4 linked regions of the Oryctolagus cuniculus genome follow. The protein of the gene in region 2 interacts with the protein of the main gene of each other region in a pairwise test. Links are inferred from orthologs where the notes say so. Each region holds a gene or a part of one and is shown on either strand. Other genes may lie near its edges.

What was found. The genes of interacting proteins can lie anywhere in the genome.
Region 1: the proteins of DEUP1 (region 2) and TBC1D22B interact in binary tests that used the Homo sapiens proteins (3 or more experiments, as listed by UniProt). The link is inferred for Oryctolagus cuniculus from reciprocal best matches to the Homo sapiens genes DEUP1 and TBC1D22B.
Region 3: the proteins of DEUP1 (region 2) and TXLNB interact in binary tests that used the Homo sapiens proteins (3 or more experiments, as listed by UniProt). The two-hybrid records come from large-scale screens. The link is inferred for Oryctolagus cuniculus from reciprocal best matches to the Homo sapiens genes DEUP1 and TXLNB.
Region 4: the proteins of DEUP1 (region 2) and ESRRG interact in binary tests that used the Homo sapiens proteins (3 or more experiments, as listed by UniProt). The two-hybrid records come from large-scale screens. The link is inferred for Oryctolagus cuniculus from reciprocal best matches to the Homo sapiens genes DEUP1 and ESRRG.

What each region holds. Positions count from the first base shown.
Region 1 is NC_091436.1:132,390,660-132,394,714, reverse strand, and holds the start of TBC1D22B (TBC1 domain family member 22B), read left to right. Parts: upstream 1-1,255; 5' UTR 1,256-1,334; coding exon 1,335-1,390; intron 1,391-4,055. UniProt on the Homo sapiens protein: May act as a GTPase-activating protein for Rab family protein(s).
Region 2 is NC_091432.1:84,562,668-84,566,167, forward strand, and holds part of DEUP1 (deuterosome assembly protein 1), read left to right. Parts: intron 1-1,507; coding exon 1,508-1,621; intron 1,622-2,561; coding exon 2,562-2,804; intron 2,805-3,500. UniProt on the Homo sapiens protein: Key structural component of the deuterosome, a structure that promotes de novo centriole amplification in multiciliated cells.
Region 3 is NC_091436.1:29,550,163-29,554,406, forward strand, and holds the start of TXLNB (beta-taxilin), read left to right. Parts: upstream 1-1,444; 5' UTR 1,445-1,640; intron 1,641-4,205; 5' UTR 4,206-4,206; coding exon 4,207-4,244. UniProt on the Homo sapiens protein: Promotes motor nerve regeneration. May be involved in intracellular vesicle traffic.
Region 4 is NC_091444.1:30,982,355-30,986,491, reverse strand, and holds the start of ESRRG (estrogen-related receptor gamma), read left to right. Parts: upstream 1-1,337; 5' UTR 1,338-4,137. UniProt on the Homo sapiens protein: Orphan receptor that acts as a transcription activator in the absence of bound ligand. Binds specifically to an estrogen response element and activates reporter genes controlled by estrogen response elements.

The DNA.
Region 1 (4,055 bases), on a different chromosome or scaffold from region 2:
CTGCAGCGCCAGCATCCCATATGGACACCGGTTTGAGTCCTGGCTGCTCCACTTCCAATCCAGCTCCCTGCTAATGCACCTTGTAAAGCAGTGGAAGATGGCCCAAGTGCTTGGGTTCCTGTACCCGCACGGGAGACCAGGAAGAAGCTCCTGGCTCCTGCCTTCAGATCAGCCCAGCTCCGACCATTTTGGCCATTTGGGAAGTGACACCCAGTGGATGGAAGATATCAAGATCTCTCTCTCTTCTCTCTGTAACTCTGCCTTTCAAATAAATAAACAAATCTTAAAAAAAAAAAAAGCACAAAGCGCAGACAAAACATTTCAAAGAGTTTAAAATGCTAATATTAAATTTCATTCTGAGACAAAATTAGATTGAGAACAAATTCAAGGGTGAAAGATTTACAATAGATTAAGAAGGGAAATTAAGGATAAGTGTGTGGGGGTACACCCGCATCTTGGTGATTCACATCATGGAGATACACGATATGCTCTAAAGAAATGGGGTACTTGGTCATGTGGATTGGATGGACGCAACCACATTCCCTAAACACGTCTGTCAGTCAGTATCTAGGCTTTCACTGTCAGAAAGTGAGAGTTACGGATTAAAACAGGATTCGATCCTTGGCGTTTCATTCACAGCACAAATCCTTTAAAAGTATTCAGTCAACAGAGGAGGGAGACTCCTGAACCCACTGTCACATGTTGAACAGTTAGGGAGCGTGGGTTAACTGAGTCCTTCATAGGGAGAAAAAAAAAAAAAAAAACTCCGGACCTAAACGGAACCGGAACGAGGAAGGGGTGGCTATCACCGAAGTGTCACTGAGTTGGGTGTCGTTAAAAATGGGTCACAACCAACAAGGTCAAAGATTTATGTTTATAAATACACACTATGGCCCTCCTTACAAATAATAGCAGACTCCGGGATCTCATTTCCCCAGAAGAAAACAGCCCCCGTGCCTCCTTCCCGTGGGTCGCTTTCTTTACCTGCTTCTTCCCTCTCGTGGGTAGGAACTTTCTGCCCCGCCTCCCGGCTCGCTCAAGCTCCGCCTTCCCGGCCCACCTGGGTGCCCAGCCCCTGACGTTACCGTTCGGCTTCAGCATCCTACAGGATTCCGGCTCCCGATTGGCCCGTCTGTTCACGGCTGGCGCAGCCCACCAATGGCAGCTGCGCTGGGTGGGCGGGTGCCCACATCCAAGATGGCGCCCCCAGGAGCTGGGAGCGGGTGACCGGCGACGGGGAAGCGGCCTGGGTTGGCCCTCAGATTGCGGGGTCTCGGGGGCGTCTCGTCGGGCACCCCCTGACCCACCTACAAGGCCTTCCCCGGGCCAGAGCAATGGCCGCCGAGAACAGCAAGCAGTTTTGGAAGAGGAGCGCCAAGCTGCCGGGGAGGTGAGCCCAGGACGCTGAGAGGGAGCCGGGATTGGACCAAACCCTTCCAAATCCTAATCCCTAAATCTTGCGACTGATGTGGGGACCCCAGGACCGAGCAGTCAGGGCTGCCTGGTAGCGGCAGGGCGGCTGTCAGGCAGAGGAGCGGGGACGGCTGGGTGTGAGGTACAGACCGGGGTCTGAGGGCGGAGGTCTCAGGAGAGGTGACCTCAGCTGGGGGGTGGCCGACGACCGGGCACAGGGGGCAGAGGAGTTGAGGGAGAACCCCGTGTCGCCCCCGGGGCTTGGGGGGCCATTCCCAGAGCCACTTCCCACTTTGAAGAGAACTCCTCGGGGGTCTCCAGCATGCACAGGTGGTTGCTTACTCGAGGGTGGCCCCTTCCTTGGCTCCCCCAGCTCCTCAGGTGCAAATCTTCTCCCAAAGGGTTCTGGTGGGAGCTTGGGGCCGCCTGCGAGGAAAGGGGTCGGGGCGGGGGGTGGGGGTCCAGGAAAAGTGAGAGCAGTTCTGCAGCCTGACCCCACTTTATCTTGAGTTGACCCTTTCCCGTCAAGGATTTCTTACAGGGAGACCACAGAGTCGGTGTTTTTCTCTAGCATTTTCTAGGGATTTGTCCAACTCCAAGTGACCTCTTCCCCCCACCCCCTGCATTGTAATGGTCTTCTTGTGCACACACACTGAATTCTTTCATTCTTCAGTGGTTTCGTGGAGGGCAGACCTTCTAAGCGATTTTTTTTTTTTTCCATTTTGGCATGTGTTGAGACTTTTTAGCAGTTGTCCATCCCCCAATCTGCCGTTAGTTGACAGTTTGGGTTGTTTTGGGCTGAGTCCTTAGAAGTCTAAGGAGGAAAGTGTGTTTCAATTGTGAATTTAAGATTTCTGCCAGCCACAGTCCAGTTGGTGATGAAATTCACGTTTGGCTGTGCCCTCCCCTGCCACCTTTCCTAATTGATTCAGTTCTTTTCTTTCTGGGATAATTGGTAATTCTTTGAACTTATGACTGAGTATTTTCCTCTAAAGCAAAGAGAAATGAACAGTCCGTAGTGTCTTGGCAGTCTTACCTTATTTAGGATCCTATTAAACATATGGGAAATGGAGTGGGGATCAGCTTTTAGTAATACATATTAATAGAAGGCAATGCAAAGACAGCCTCAGATTAACATGGAAATTACACTGGAATGACTGTTAATATCGTGTTAAAGATGTTGTGTGTCTTTAGATAAGCATCGCTTCCTGCCACCTGATTTCTTTTCCTTCCTGATCTAGTGAACTCTCCAGTTATGCTAAATGCTGTTCTCTGGGGTTTTCCATCATGAGATCATTAAATTTTGATGTCCTAAGGTTATAATGAGACTCAGCAGGAAAACTGTTCCAACAGGAAGCAGTGCAGGAGATGAGGGACATGGCATGGTCCTTTGTGCCTTCTGACACTGGTTGCTGTTCACTGGCTTCTGTTTAATACTGAAACAGTCAACTTTTCTAAAGCACTATGTGAGATAGGAAGAGGAGTCTTTTTTTTTTTTTTTAAAGAAAGATTTTATTCATTTATTTATTTGAGAGGTAGAGTTACAGACCGAAAGAGGGAGAGACAGAGAGAGAGGTCTTCCATCCACTGGTTCACTCCCCAAATGGCCGCAACAACTTGGAGCTGAGCTGATCTGAAGCCAGGAGCCTGGAGCTTCTTCCAGGTCTGCCACGTGGGCGCAGGGGCCCAAGCACTTGGGCTCTGGGAGAGGAGTCTTCATTTCTTCAAGTGTCTGACTCTTCCATTTTGAAGAATACAGAAGGGAAGAGGAGAGAACCTTAGGGTTTAAAAAGCCTTGGCTCATTATTTGAACTCTCTTACCTGTGTGTCAAAGACAAATGATTGACATCCAGGCCTCTGTTTCCTTATCTGTGAAATGAGAAATAAAAATACTTCCCTCAGGGTTCCTGGGATTACTAATAAAATACCCTATTTGTAAAGAACCTAGGACCGTTTATTTAACACATTATAGTTGCTCAGTATTGCTGTTTCTAGAGCAAGTAATTGTTGAAAAGAATATTGCTCAGATCCCTTACCCCAGCCCTAGTTCAAGTCTTCATTCTTTGTTCTAACCATAAAATACTGGCACAATTCATACTAGCTTTTAGTACTTTGATTGTTGAAGAGAAATATGGTTCAGCTGTGTGCCTTTATCTGCGAGGCCCCAGGAGCTCCTGATTATGGGAGAAAACTACCCAGGCATCTTGTAGATGGAAAGGTGCCTTGATGAAAGGAAAATGTTAGAGCATTTTCTCAATATAACTTTTTTTTTTTAAGATTTATGTATTTATTTGAAAGTCAGAGTTACACATAGAGAGAAGGAGAGGCAGAGAGAGAGAGAGGTTCTCCATCCTCTGGTTCCCTCCCTCAGTTGGCCACAACTGCCGGAGCTGCACTATCTTAAGCCAGGAGCTTCTTCCAGGTCTCCCACTTGGGTGCAGGGGCCCAAAAACGTGGGCCATCTTCTACTGCCTTCCCAGGCCACAACAGAGAGCTGGATTGCAAGTGGAGCAGTCGGGACTTGAACCAACGTCCATATGGGATGCCAGCACTGCAGACAGCGGCTTTACCTGCCACAACATAGTGCCGGCCCCCAATATATCTTTTGACTCTTCACTTGATCTTAGCCAAAAAGCCAAGAA
Region 2 (3,500 bases):
CTACACCGTGTTCACAGCACATCACCAGTATATGGTCATGAACTTAGGAGCTGTAAAGTCTACTTTCAGCCATGTTGTTTTCTTTGAAAAGTCTAGTGAGAAATGTTTAAATTCCAGGAGATGTTAATACTATGCTTTTGTTTGTGCATTCATGGAACACAAGTAGTATCTGGCACTCTATCAAGCGCTGTGAACAATCTGAAAGTAATAAAATACACAGCCCTTCACATTCAGTTGCTTAAGCCTGGACAGAACGACAAGAATGGCCAGCCCTAGGAAACATTGAGGAGTGAAGTTCTATTTGGTATCCCCAGTACGATGCCTTTTGTTCATGTTACTAAGTCGTGAAGTGATAATCATGCTCTGTGACTGTACTACTTCAGAAAAAAGTCAAAGAACTGTATGTGCTTTATAAAGCTAGTGCCACTTCTTCTTTCCCAGATTAACCCAACTGATACTCCCTGCATGAGACCTCAAATGGTTTTTCTGTTTCCAAGATTGAGTGGACTTGGACAAAACTTTGAAAGCCACATCACTATCTTAGTTCAGGCTGCTGTGACAGAATAACATGGACAAATCGACTTAAGCAACAATCATTTATTTCTCACAGTTCTGAAAATTGAAAGTCCAAGTTCAGAGTATTAGGTTCTGGTGATGGCCCTCGTCCTGGTTTATAGATGGCTGTCTCCTTATATCTTCATATAGAGAAAAAGAAAAAAACTCTCTCATATCTCTTCTTATTAGAGCACTAATCTTTATGAGGGTTCCATTCACATGGCCTAGTCATTTCCCAAAGGCCCCCAGTCCAAATAATATCATATGGGAATTAGGCTTCAACACATGGATTTGGAGCATGGATGGGGGAACACAAATATTCAGTCCAAGCAGTGGCAAAATCTAAGCTCTATACAGGGCTGGAGAACCTTTTTTCTACTAAGAGCTATTTGCATATTTATAACATCCTTTACAGGCCATACAAAATCATCAACTTAAAAATTAGCCTGCTATAGACTTACTGAATTTCAAGTCCCGAAAGCAGTTGCCTTGGCAGAGCCAGACCAAATGGTTTCATGGGCATTATCATTCCCTATCCTTGCAAGGGAACAAGTTTAACGACTGATTGTAGAGAATGGAAGGAGGGAAAAAACTTCCGGTATGAGTAAATAGAATGAAAGTAATTAATTGAAGAAAAAAGATGTTTGGAAGGTAGCTTATTAATAGCAATTTTCAGAGGAACTTACAATATTTTTAGTAAATAGAATATTTAATGCTTTTTGTACAAGGACTAAGTTATAAATTCCATATTTTCCTAGCAAAAATTAGAAGACTAATAAATCCAATATGAATGATTTGATACTTAATTTTTATAATTTTCCTAATAGGCAAAGAATGGACTTACTTTTTAGTCCCCTCTGAATGAAGGTGTAAATAAAAGAAACCCTATTCATTGTGCTTCACAATGAATAATATTCTTCAATTTATCTTTGTTCCCCCCATTTTTTAAAAGGAATTTAGAGCAAAATCAAGAGAATGGGATAAGCAAGAGATACTATATCAGACTCACCTAGTTTCTTTAGATGCTCAGCAAAAATTATTATCTGAGAAGTGTAATCAATTCCAGGTATGTTACTTAATAATAACCTCTGAATGTAAAGTTACATACTGGTGTCTTTGCCATTCAGCATGGAATCTATTTACAGATAGAAATGCTAACTAAGTGAAAATGAGTAGAGTAGAGCGGGTATAGTCACCAGTTCATGAACTATCTGTGATAGTGAATTTAGTCTACATACCTCAAGGGATGATGCTTTTTAAAATGTCATTGTCATTATGTCATTAGACAACACCTTTTGCATGCCTATGGACAATGTCCTAAGAGAATCTTGGATTGTTTGACTTGCTGACCAAATTTGTAAAAGACTAATCACCTCTTCTTATATGAGAGACTTCAAAAGCATGTGAAAAATGAAAAGATAAATATATTTCAATTCAAAAATCAAAATCTATGCAAAGTGTTTTCATAATACACAATTTTTGACGATGCCCTCATATTTCTTAGCCTTTTTCATTTCCTCTTCTGTGAATTGCCTCCATATATTCTGTCCATTTTTCTTCAGTGTTGTCTTTTTCTTATTGATATATAGAAGTTATTGTACATTAGCAATGATTAACGCCTGTTATTGCCTTCACAGCTGTTTCTCCATAATCCAGTTGTTTCTGTTTTCCTTTGCTTTAAATCAGAGAGACATTTTTCAACTATTGTGTAATTGAATTCATAATTTTCTTCTTTTACAGATTCTAGACTTTCATTCATGCTTAATAAAACTGGCCAATCTGTAGACCTTTCCATGCTCTAGATCTTTGCTTCAATGTTATACAAGCATATTTTCACTTCAACCATTTAATTGAGATTTCATAACAAAGAGAGACTTTATTATAAAAGGCCAACCTTTCCTATATAGTAACATACTTAAATGAGTTTTTGCCAGTTGTTTTCTATCATTCATGTAATGCTTAAATGTGATATTCTTCATTGAATTTAGAGTTTTTACATTTCTCAGAAACAGGCACAAAGTTACCAAACTCAACTAGATGGTAAAGCACAGAGCATAGAAGACAGCAGCTGTGAAATTCCTCGCTTGATATGTGACCCAGATCCCAGCTGTGAAACCAATGAGAGAGATGAATTCATTATTGCCAAACTAAAATCAGCTGTGAGTGAAATAGCACTAAGCAGGAATAAGTTACAAGATGAAAATCAGAAGCTCCTGCAAGAACTGAAAATGTACCAAAGACAGTGCCAGGTAAGAATATATTTTTTGTCATCCAACTAGTATCGTCCATGTTCTGTTTAATGATGACTCAACAGGTATAGGGATTATAGAAAGCTCATTTTCTACTATATGTGTAAATTCAGTCCATATTTCCTTAGTAAGTAATTCCCACTTGATGAAGAAAGTAGTTAATCTCATAGGTAGTTTGCCTCATCAGAGTGCACTTTGGTTCAATAATGACATCATATGCATTGAAAGTGAGTATAATAGATTCTCATACAGACTTCTATGCCTGAAAAACATGGCCCTTTAACCACACACCACCCTCTGTACCCTGTAATTTCTTTGACCCTATACCTCTCTGACTCAAGGAATCCTGGATGAGAGGTCCAGGAAATCATGACAAGTTCAACTAGTTAGTAACTTCAGGAAAAGGCATGGGAGTTACTCCCTGTGATTTATCACTGGTAACCTTATCATAATCATTTGACAAGCATTGGCCTCAAATGCATTCTGAGGTAACTTATATTATGACTGGTTGGTTCTCCAAGCATTAATTTTTTTTCTTGACCCAACAATCTTCTTTCTTTCTACTTCTTGCTGTAATTAAGAAGGTTATACACATTCAACAAAATTGATCATTACTTATTTTCTTACTAAAAATGAACACCTTGTTCATGAGTATCCAGCTACTTGATATATTCAATCAACATAGATATATTCTAG
Region 3 (4,244 bases), on a different chromosome or scaffold from region 2:
ATTTTCTACAATCAGGTTGTAGCATTCACTAAGTGCTCATTAACGTTAGAAGGAAATACCTTTTTCTTTCATCGATTTTAGTTCACTAACTTTATTACCATGATGCAGTAAACGGCTTCATTGTTGAAATCACCCAGATTTCTTTTCCCTGACCTCTATTTATTAGTTATGCTCACCTATATATAATTTATGCCTCCCCTGACCTCAGAGAAAGGAGTAGGAAAACGCTTGAGAGGGTGCAATGTTTTGGGTTTCCTATTGCTGCCATAACAATTTACTATAAATTTAGCAGCTTAAAAAAAAAACTTACTATCTTATGCTTCTGTAAGAAACCCAAAAGGAGCTAAATGGGGCTAAAATCCACATGCCAGCAGTACTGCATTTTTCTGGAGGCTGCAGAGGAGAATCCATTTCCCTGCCTTTTCCAGTGTCTAGAACCTCCCGCATTCCTTGGTTCACTGCCACACATCACGCTGATCTTTACTGGTCATCAATCTTCTTTTCTAAGTCTGATCCTCTCACCTTCCTCTTACAATTATGAGAACCCTGTGGTTCATAATCCAGAACCATCTCCCCACGCCAAGACCTTAATCTAAGGCAAAATTGTTTTTGCCTTGTCAAGTTACGTGCACAGAACAGGGATTAGGATATGGACATCTTTTGGATGGCATTATTTGGTCTACCACAAGGAGTGCCACTTGGTCCATCCTGTCCCCAAAGCAGAAAGTCTCATAGAAGGATCTGCTTTGGAAAAGTAGGAACACATTCCCTGGGAACTGAAAGAAAAGGGCAGTAAATGTAAGACAGCATTTTACAGTGTGTGGGAATGAGGTTCTTTTTCTGAGGAAGATTGAGGAGCACACAGGGGCTTTGAAAGGGGTGGACACGCTGCTCTGCGAGGTGAGAAAACCCCACTAAGAAGATAAAGCAGACTGCTTTCCTAAGGGCCCGAGATGTGGTAGTCTCCTGGGAAGGACTCTCTGAGGACATGCCAGTCACCATGCACATGAAGATTACTCCCAGCTCCAAAACGCTCACTTCACTGCTATTGCACATTTGCAAACAGCGCAACTGTAGCGTCAGAATTAACGTGGCTCTACCACCTTTTCGGTATGCCCTTGTTTTCTGCTTTGCAGGATTCCTCCAGCATGAAACCTGACACTAATTAGGCTAGCCCCAAGTAGGAAAATAAAGATGATGAACCACAACCCACTCTGGAGATAAACCAAGGAAAACGGATCTCTGCCCAAAAGAACAACAGTGAAAAATCGTATTTGCCAAGGGGCTATCTACTAAGAGTTTAAATTTTTAGAAGAACAAAACGTGGAGAGTCTGATAAGATCTGCCAGCTACTGCTGTTTTCTCAGATATTTGCCAGGGCCACAGCCACTGAAGCTTGGGTGGATTTCTCTCTTGCTGTGTCATAAGATGTTCCTCTCCCCACCCCCACCTCCTCCCTCCTGCTGCCTCCACCAGTGCCTGTGTGTGTGTGTGTGCGCGCGCACGAGTGTGTATTTGGTTTCTCTCTCCCCTGTAAGAACACAGTCCGCCCGCCTTCTCCTGCTGTTGCTGCCGCTCTGACTTGCTCTTTGCTGCTGCTTTCCTCTCTTTCTCTTCCTGCTTAAGCTCCCTGCCTTCTGGTAAGTATGACAAACACTCCCCCAAGCCCTGTGAGATGTAGGGAGTGGTTTGTGGTGCTCGAAACTTGCAACTTTGAGACTGCCAGTGAACTGTTGAAGAACTTTCCATTGTTGCATTTATAATTAAAATGTGTGGCTCAGGAAGGGATGTGTGAGTGCTGGGACTGCCAGCACAAGTGAAATATGCTCTCAGAGGAGGGGAGGAAAGGGCAACACAGTTCACATAGATGAAAGTGAAAATTAAATTCTTTGACATAAAAATAATTTATATAAAAGGGTCCTTTAAAACTAACAATGTTTTTTCCTCTTGTTGATTTGTCTTGAGTCTACTTTTAGAAATTGAGTTGTCCTGTGGTTAATGACTCAGTTATTCTGCCTTAAAGTAAATGTGGAAAAGGAGTTTAAAGAATATTTGTGGAATTAAAGACATCAATGATAATGACATCTGAAGAATGAAGAATAAATCAAATACAAACAAAACATGTGCATGTAGACTAACCACAGTAAAACTCCATACACAGTCGGTTTTAAATTCTTGATTGAAATTCGCTTTCATTTTGATTTGATTTGATTTGATTCTAATATGGGTTCCCAACATTTTAAAACTCACATATGGTCTTAAGTCACTAAATACATACTGTTTTAATTTGATTTAAAAATTATTCTCTTGAATGCCCAAGGATGACGTGCTAAATGCCATGACTCATTTTAGAATAGCTTAAAATAACTTCTGACTGGACAGCAGGTGCCATGTGTCTTTGAGTTTAGAGGAAGCATAAGTTATATATAGATGAGTGTGCCTAACAAGTGGAGATCAAGATCAAGAGATTCCAATGAGGAAAACAAAGAAGCTGTCTACTACATACATTATCTGATCATCAAATTGGTGAATTAAAATTGGTGAAAGAAAAAAAGAACTTCCTTCTAACTTAATGAGTACTTGGTGAGAGCAACAAGTAGGTGGCAATGTCTAAGCTCTGGCTTTTCCTTTCTCGCTGGTGTCCAAACATCTGACACCCACTGCCCTGAGAATGAGGGAAGGGGGCTGTGCCGTTGATACAAGAGTATGTTTTTGTTCTCACTTTCACATGACCATAGCAGCAAAACCTATGAATGATGAGGATCGTGCCATATTTTATGGTCATAAGTAGCATCATCAGCATTAAATATTATTTACAGATAAAATGTTCCATCACTTAATGAACTAACACAAACTGATTGCAAATCTAGAAATGGTAGTAGCCAGACACCCTACAGTAATCTTCCACACAACTTTGTTCCTCACTCCTCATTTCTTAAGAACTTGTGTTATACTTACATTATTTTCCTAGTTCATTCCTTCCCTGCTTTTTTACTTGATATATAATAAAAATGATTGGCCGACGCCATGGCTCACTAGGGTAATCCTACGCCTAGCGGCGCCGGCACACCAGGTTCTAGTCCCGGTCGGGGAGCCGGATTCTGTCCCGGTTGCCCCTCTTCCAGGCCAGCTCTCTGCTGTGGCCAGGGAGTGCAGTGGAGGATGGCCCAAGTGCTTGGGCCCTGCACCCCATGGGAGACCAGGAGAAGTACCTGGCTCCTGCCATCGGATCAGCGCGGTGCGCCGGCCGCAGCGCCAGTCGCAGCGGCCACTGGAGGGTGAACCAAAGGCAAAGGAAGACCTTTCTCTCTGTCTCTCTCTCTCTCTCACTGTCCACGCTGCCTGTAAAAAAAAAAAAAAAAAAAAAAAAAAAAAATTATTAAGTTTCCCTAGAGTTACTTGCCTTGGAATAGAAAGTGATAATCTGCTTTCTTCTAAAAGAAAGCCGATTTTTATAGAGGAATAAAAAGTTATTGTAGAAATTTAAGAAATTGCTATTATTATAAGCATTACCATGTTTCCATATTGGTTGGTTTATTTACACCTTCCCTTATTCCACGTCTTATTACAAAAATGATGCTAGAATGAATTTCAGGAAAAATATTTTTGCTGATTGACAATTAATAACATGTTGCTCATCTGGGAAAAAGAAAATACTAGAAAGGCAAGAATATCTCCTGAATCACTAGAATAATTCATTTACATCCAACCATCTGTACTAATCAACTCTTTACTTACAGGTCAATATAAAGTTAGGGGCATTATTGTTATGAATCATTTAAAGTTAATTGGCTATTGTATTAAGTAATTTAACTTTGAATGAAAACTAATACCACTTAAAATTAAACATATGAAATGTATATACCTGTGTACTTCCAATGATTGTGAATCTACACATATTCATAAAAGAAAATGGTAACATTGGATCTTCTAAGCAAATGACAAATATGTCACGAAAAACAATACTTTGGTAATGTTAATAATAAGGTATACTGAAAACTAAAACCATAAATATGCTAGTAGTATGACTCCATCTGGAAAAATGGCTTCCCACTGTTTCTACCTAACTAATTGTAACAGCAATGATTTGTAAAAGTACATTCACTCTATGTTAGAAACCATAATTAGTTGATGCTCAATTTGCTCACATAACTTAGTGAACTACACAAAACCTAACTATGCTTACCACTTGATACTACACACAGTATGGAGATTAATCACGCTGAACAGCTCTCAGCAGAACA
Region 4 (4,137 bases), on a different chromosome or scaffold from region 2:
ATATGGTGCTGGTTCGAGTCTCAGCGGCTTCACTTCCAATCCAGTTCCCTGCTAGCACTCCTGGGAGGGCAGCAGAAGATGGCACAAGTTGTTGGCCCCTTGCACCCACATGGGAGACCCAGATGAAGCTCCTGGCTTCAGACTGGCCCGGCTCTGCCATTGCAGCCTCTGGGGAGTGAACCGACAGATGGAGGACCTCTCTCTCTCTGTCTCTCCTTCTGTCTGTCTGTGACTCTACCTTTCAAGTAAATGAATGAGTCCTTAAAAAAAATCTTAGAAATATATCAATGAGTTCTAACATCCAAAAGGTGCAATAACCTTTTTAAACCTGTTTATGTGGATACTAGCTGTTAATATCTCATTGTTTTTTCAACTGCTCCTTTGAAAGTCTTGACAGAAAGGTTAGCAAAAGCAATAGGAAAAGAGACCTTTCCAATTGTAGTGAACACTCAATTTTATATATATATTATTTATATATATATAGAATATATATATATATATATAGAGAGAGAGAGAGAGAGAGCACCTAAATAGATGTTGAATGGGGTGGCTAAAATGGGTAATTTGATCATTTTCCTGGGATAAAGCAGATATTGCTTCTTCTGAAATCTTTGTGTTTGTTCCACTTTCTCCTCCTCAATCTCCACTGTGGCCCTGCCTTCCTCCCAGAGCTAAGCTCCCCTTTATTTTGGACCACACTATCACACACATGATTGAGTCAACAATTTATGGCTTTTAAAAATAGGGATTTCGTCCTCTCTTAGGTTTATTGTTTATCATAATCATCTTTCAAGTGAAAAGGCTAATTTACTCTTTCTATAGGAATATTTTAAGCTTGATTATCATAATATTACCGCTGCCTGAAAAGGTCTAAAACGGGACATTGACCTTGAATGTTTTCTGCATTTAGCTTGCAGTGCTTAACATTCAGGAAAGAATATGACTGCAACTCATTTATTAATGTATAATCTCAAAATGTTAACTATTGCTCTGTAAATACATGCCACACAGATTATAGAAACCTTGTAGGACGCCATAAAACACACTTGATATTATACTAGGATGAGGATGTTAGAAATACAACATAACTGAAGTCAGTTGTCCCATTGGAGCTACTGTAGTTTGTAATTTAATTTTTACTGACATTTCACCATGTATATTATTAGCTTGACAAAATGAAAGTGAAATAATCCTGAATTAATTAAACAGGAGCCGAATTGCTTCTCTTAGTTTTTCTGTCACTGATTATTTATTCTTCCACTTTCACAAAAACACCGGGAAACGAGTTGGTGTATTATGGAGGAGAGACGATTGCTCCCCAGGGAATGGGCTTTTTTTTTTTTTTTTTTTTGAGACTCCATAATTTGGGAATGGGATGGATTTATAGGACAAGCGCTGTATCAAAAGGAAAGATTTTTATGAGTGCTTCTGTGGAAGTGATCACTTTCAGTAGAAATGATTGCTTCTTGCCAATGGAGACAATAATTTAAATATCAAAGCCTGTGCCCTAGAAATGAAAGGCAACAGAAAATGAGGTATGATGAATTGATAGAGGTTTGGTGGTAATACAAAGTAGCCACCCTGACTTCCAAAGAAGTCTGCCTGTGCTCAGTGGGAAAGGTATGTTCCTAAGTAGGTTTATGGCCCAGCAGAAATTCCAGTTTGCAGATGAGGAGACAGGGGACTAGAAAGCGAGGAGCCCAGGCCACAAAGGCTGGCATCTGGCCCTTTTCACCTGTGCTGTAAGGTTTTTTTTCTTAGCGACTGAACGATGGGTTTCCCCTCAGAGTGAAACGCATTAGATTGAAGTAGTCCTGGCTTGCTTTCTGTAGTAAGATAACACTACACAGGCTATATCAAAGACATCAGAGACAGTGGTTCAAAAAATTCAACAGCGTTTCAAAGGTTTGATGATCTTGAGGAAAAATCTGGAAGGCAGATTTACAAGGCAATTTAAACCTCAGAATTTTTAAAAACTGGCTTAGTTTTAAAGTGTTCAGCAAATAGCCAATGTGCAGTAGGGGAGGGAACTTCAAAAAGTTCATGGAAATTGACTTAAAAGATAAGTTTATTTTGGTACAAAAATATTTGAAATTCAGGCATTTTTTTTCTTGTAATAAGTATTTTCCAAGAATTTTTTTGAAGACCTCCTTACAAAATCTAAATCTGCTTCAAAAATGACTATAGTAAGCTTAAAATATTTTAATATGGATTAGTTTTCTTAATTTTCAGAAAAGGAGCATGAGAGCTATAAAGAGCTAATAGTTTGCAGTCATAGCAACTCTTAGCATTTCACACCACTTTGTGTAGTAACATAAAAATTCATTGCTAGTATGTTTTAGGCAATGATTCTGACTAACATACAGTAAGATGCATAGTATGTGCAACTCCTAGGAATCTACCTTTTGTTTCACTTGAGTTTTGCTTGTGGCCGCTCCTTTCTTTCAAGTGGAAATGAAGTGCACTATCTCTTTGTATCTGTGCCTTACCTGGGAACTGAGAAGAAGTTGTTCAGATACTTGTGACTGCAGTGTTTAGGGAAGAGAGTGAAACTATGTCTAGCCTGAGGGTCTGATGCATGATAGACTGATAGTAACTAATCTACTAATATTCTTTTTGAACCAGTCAAAAGAAGTTCTTTTGTTTGATTCCATTTTTCCTGATTTGGGTAGACTCCTTGTGGTAAGACTGTGAAGTGTATGGACATTTAGCAATATGAGCTTATTCTAGTCTGTTTATCTTTTTGATTGCTTTTTTTCCCCCCCAAATCCTCTGTAGTTGAATTTCTTGAAGGCTGAAGCTCAATATGACTTGTGCTGGCTTTCTTTTCCTAGGAGTCTCTATTCCTTTCTCTTTCAAGGTGAGGAACTTCTGTGATTAAGGAAGGTTCTTGAGATACTGTGCTGTGTGTTTATGAAATATTCTTGAAGCTGTCTCGAAAGTTCAGTGTAGTGGATATTATTTTAAATTTTAAATTGGTTAAACTGGATTCAGGATTGTACGTGTAATCTTAGGCCCTTGACTTGTACAGGTGACATTTTGATCCCTGGGGGAAAACATCCCGTTCTACAAATCTAATGCACTTCTGGTCGTTGAGAAAGCGGCAGGCTCAGTGAACACGGCACCTTCGGAGATGAAATATGGTCAGCGGAAGATCAGTGGGGGCGGCACTGTACAAGTGCGTACATGTGTCTCTGGGCACAGAAGAAAGACGCGTGCATGAATATGAGTCTAAATATGTTTAAAAATACACACCGAGGAAATCAAATGAGTCGCAGTAAAAGCAAAAATACCCCGAAAAGGAAATAAGAAAATTCTGGGGAATAAAATATCGCCTCTATAAAATATGATGACTTAAGGCCATCAGTAAATAATTGACTACAAATCTTGCCTTTAAACAGCCATTTCAAAGGAGGAATAGCCAGGTTCTGTCACAGCATGATAATGCAAAGAGACTGAATACAATACGAGATTCTTCCGCACAGGTACAAGATCGGAGTGCATGTGTTGAGTCCATTAAGATATGTTGAGTACATTAAATAATTTTTTTATCATTTTAAGAAATTATGCTGGACAAAAATAAGAGATTTTTTTGGTATATCTTTTTTTAAAAATGTACAATCACGTTTATTAATTACCTTGAAGATTTTAGTGTATTCAGAAATCAAGAGGAACAGGAAACAAAGATGTTTTTCTGTTGAATGCAGTATTAGCTTCCATATTTCTCTGTATTTTAGAAAAGTCATGCTTCTTTTTCAAAATGCCTTTTTATTTATTTTTGAAATTGTCAAAGAATTACATGTCTCCTTTTCGATTGAATACACAGATCTTTTTCTTCCCCCACCCCGAGTGTCTGCAGAATGCTTGGATTTTCTTCTGCATCTCCAAGCTCTTTTAATTCACTGCTCACAACCAAATTTACATCTTAATTGCAGAGTTCACATTTAACAATATAGACAGCATAATGCTACTGGTAATTAAGCTTTTACTACCTGCTTTTATACAGTATTCTCAAGCACAGTTTTAGCTATGTGAGTTGGGATCTAGAAACTTGTCTGCATTTAGACCACAAATAAAAGGAAATCGGGCCTGTATCTTAGATATAGCTAAGTGCATGGCAGGGAAATGGCTTTCTTC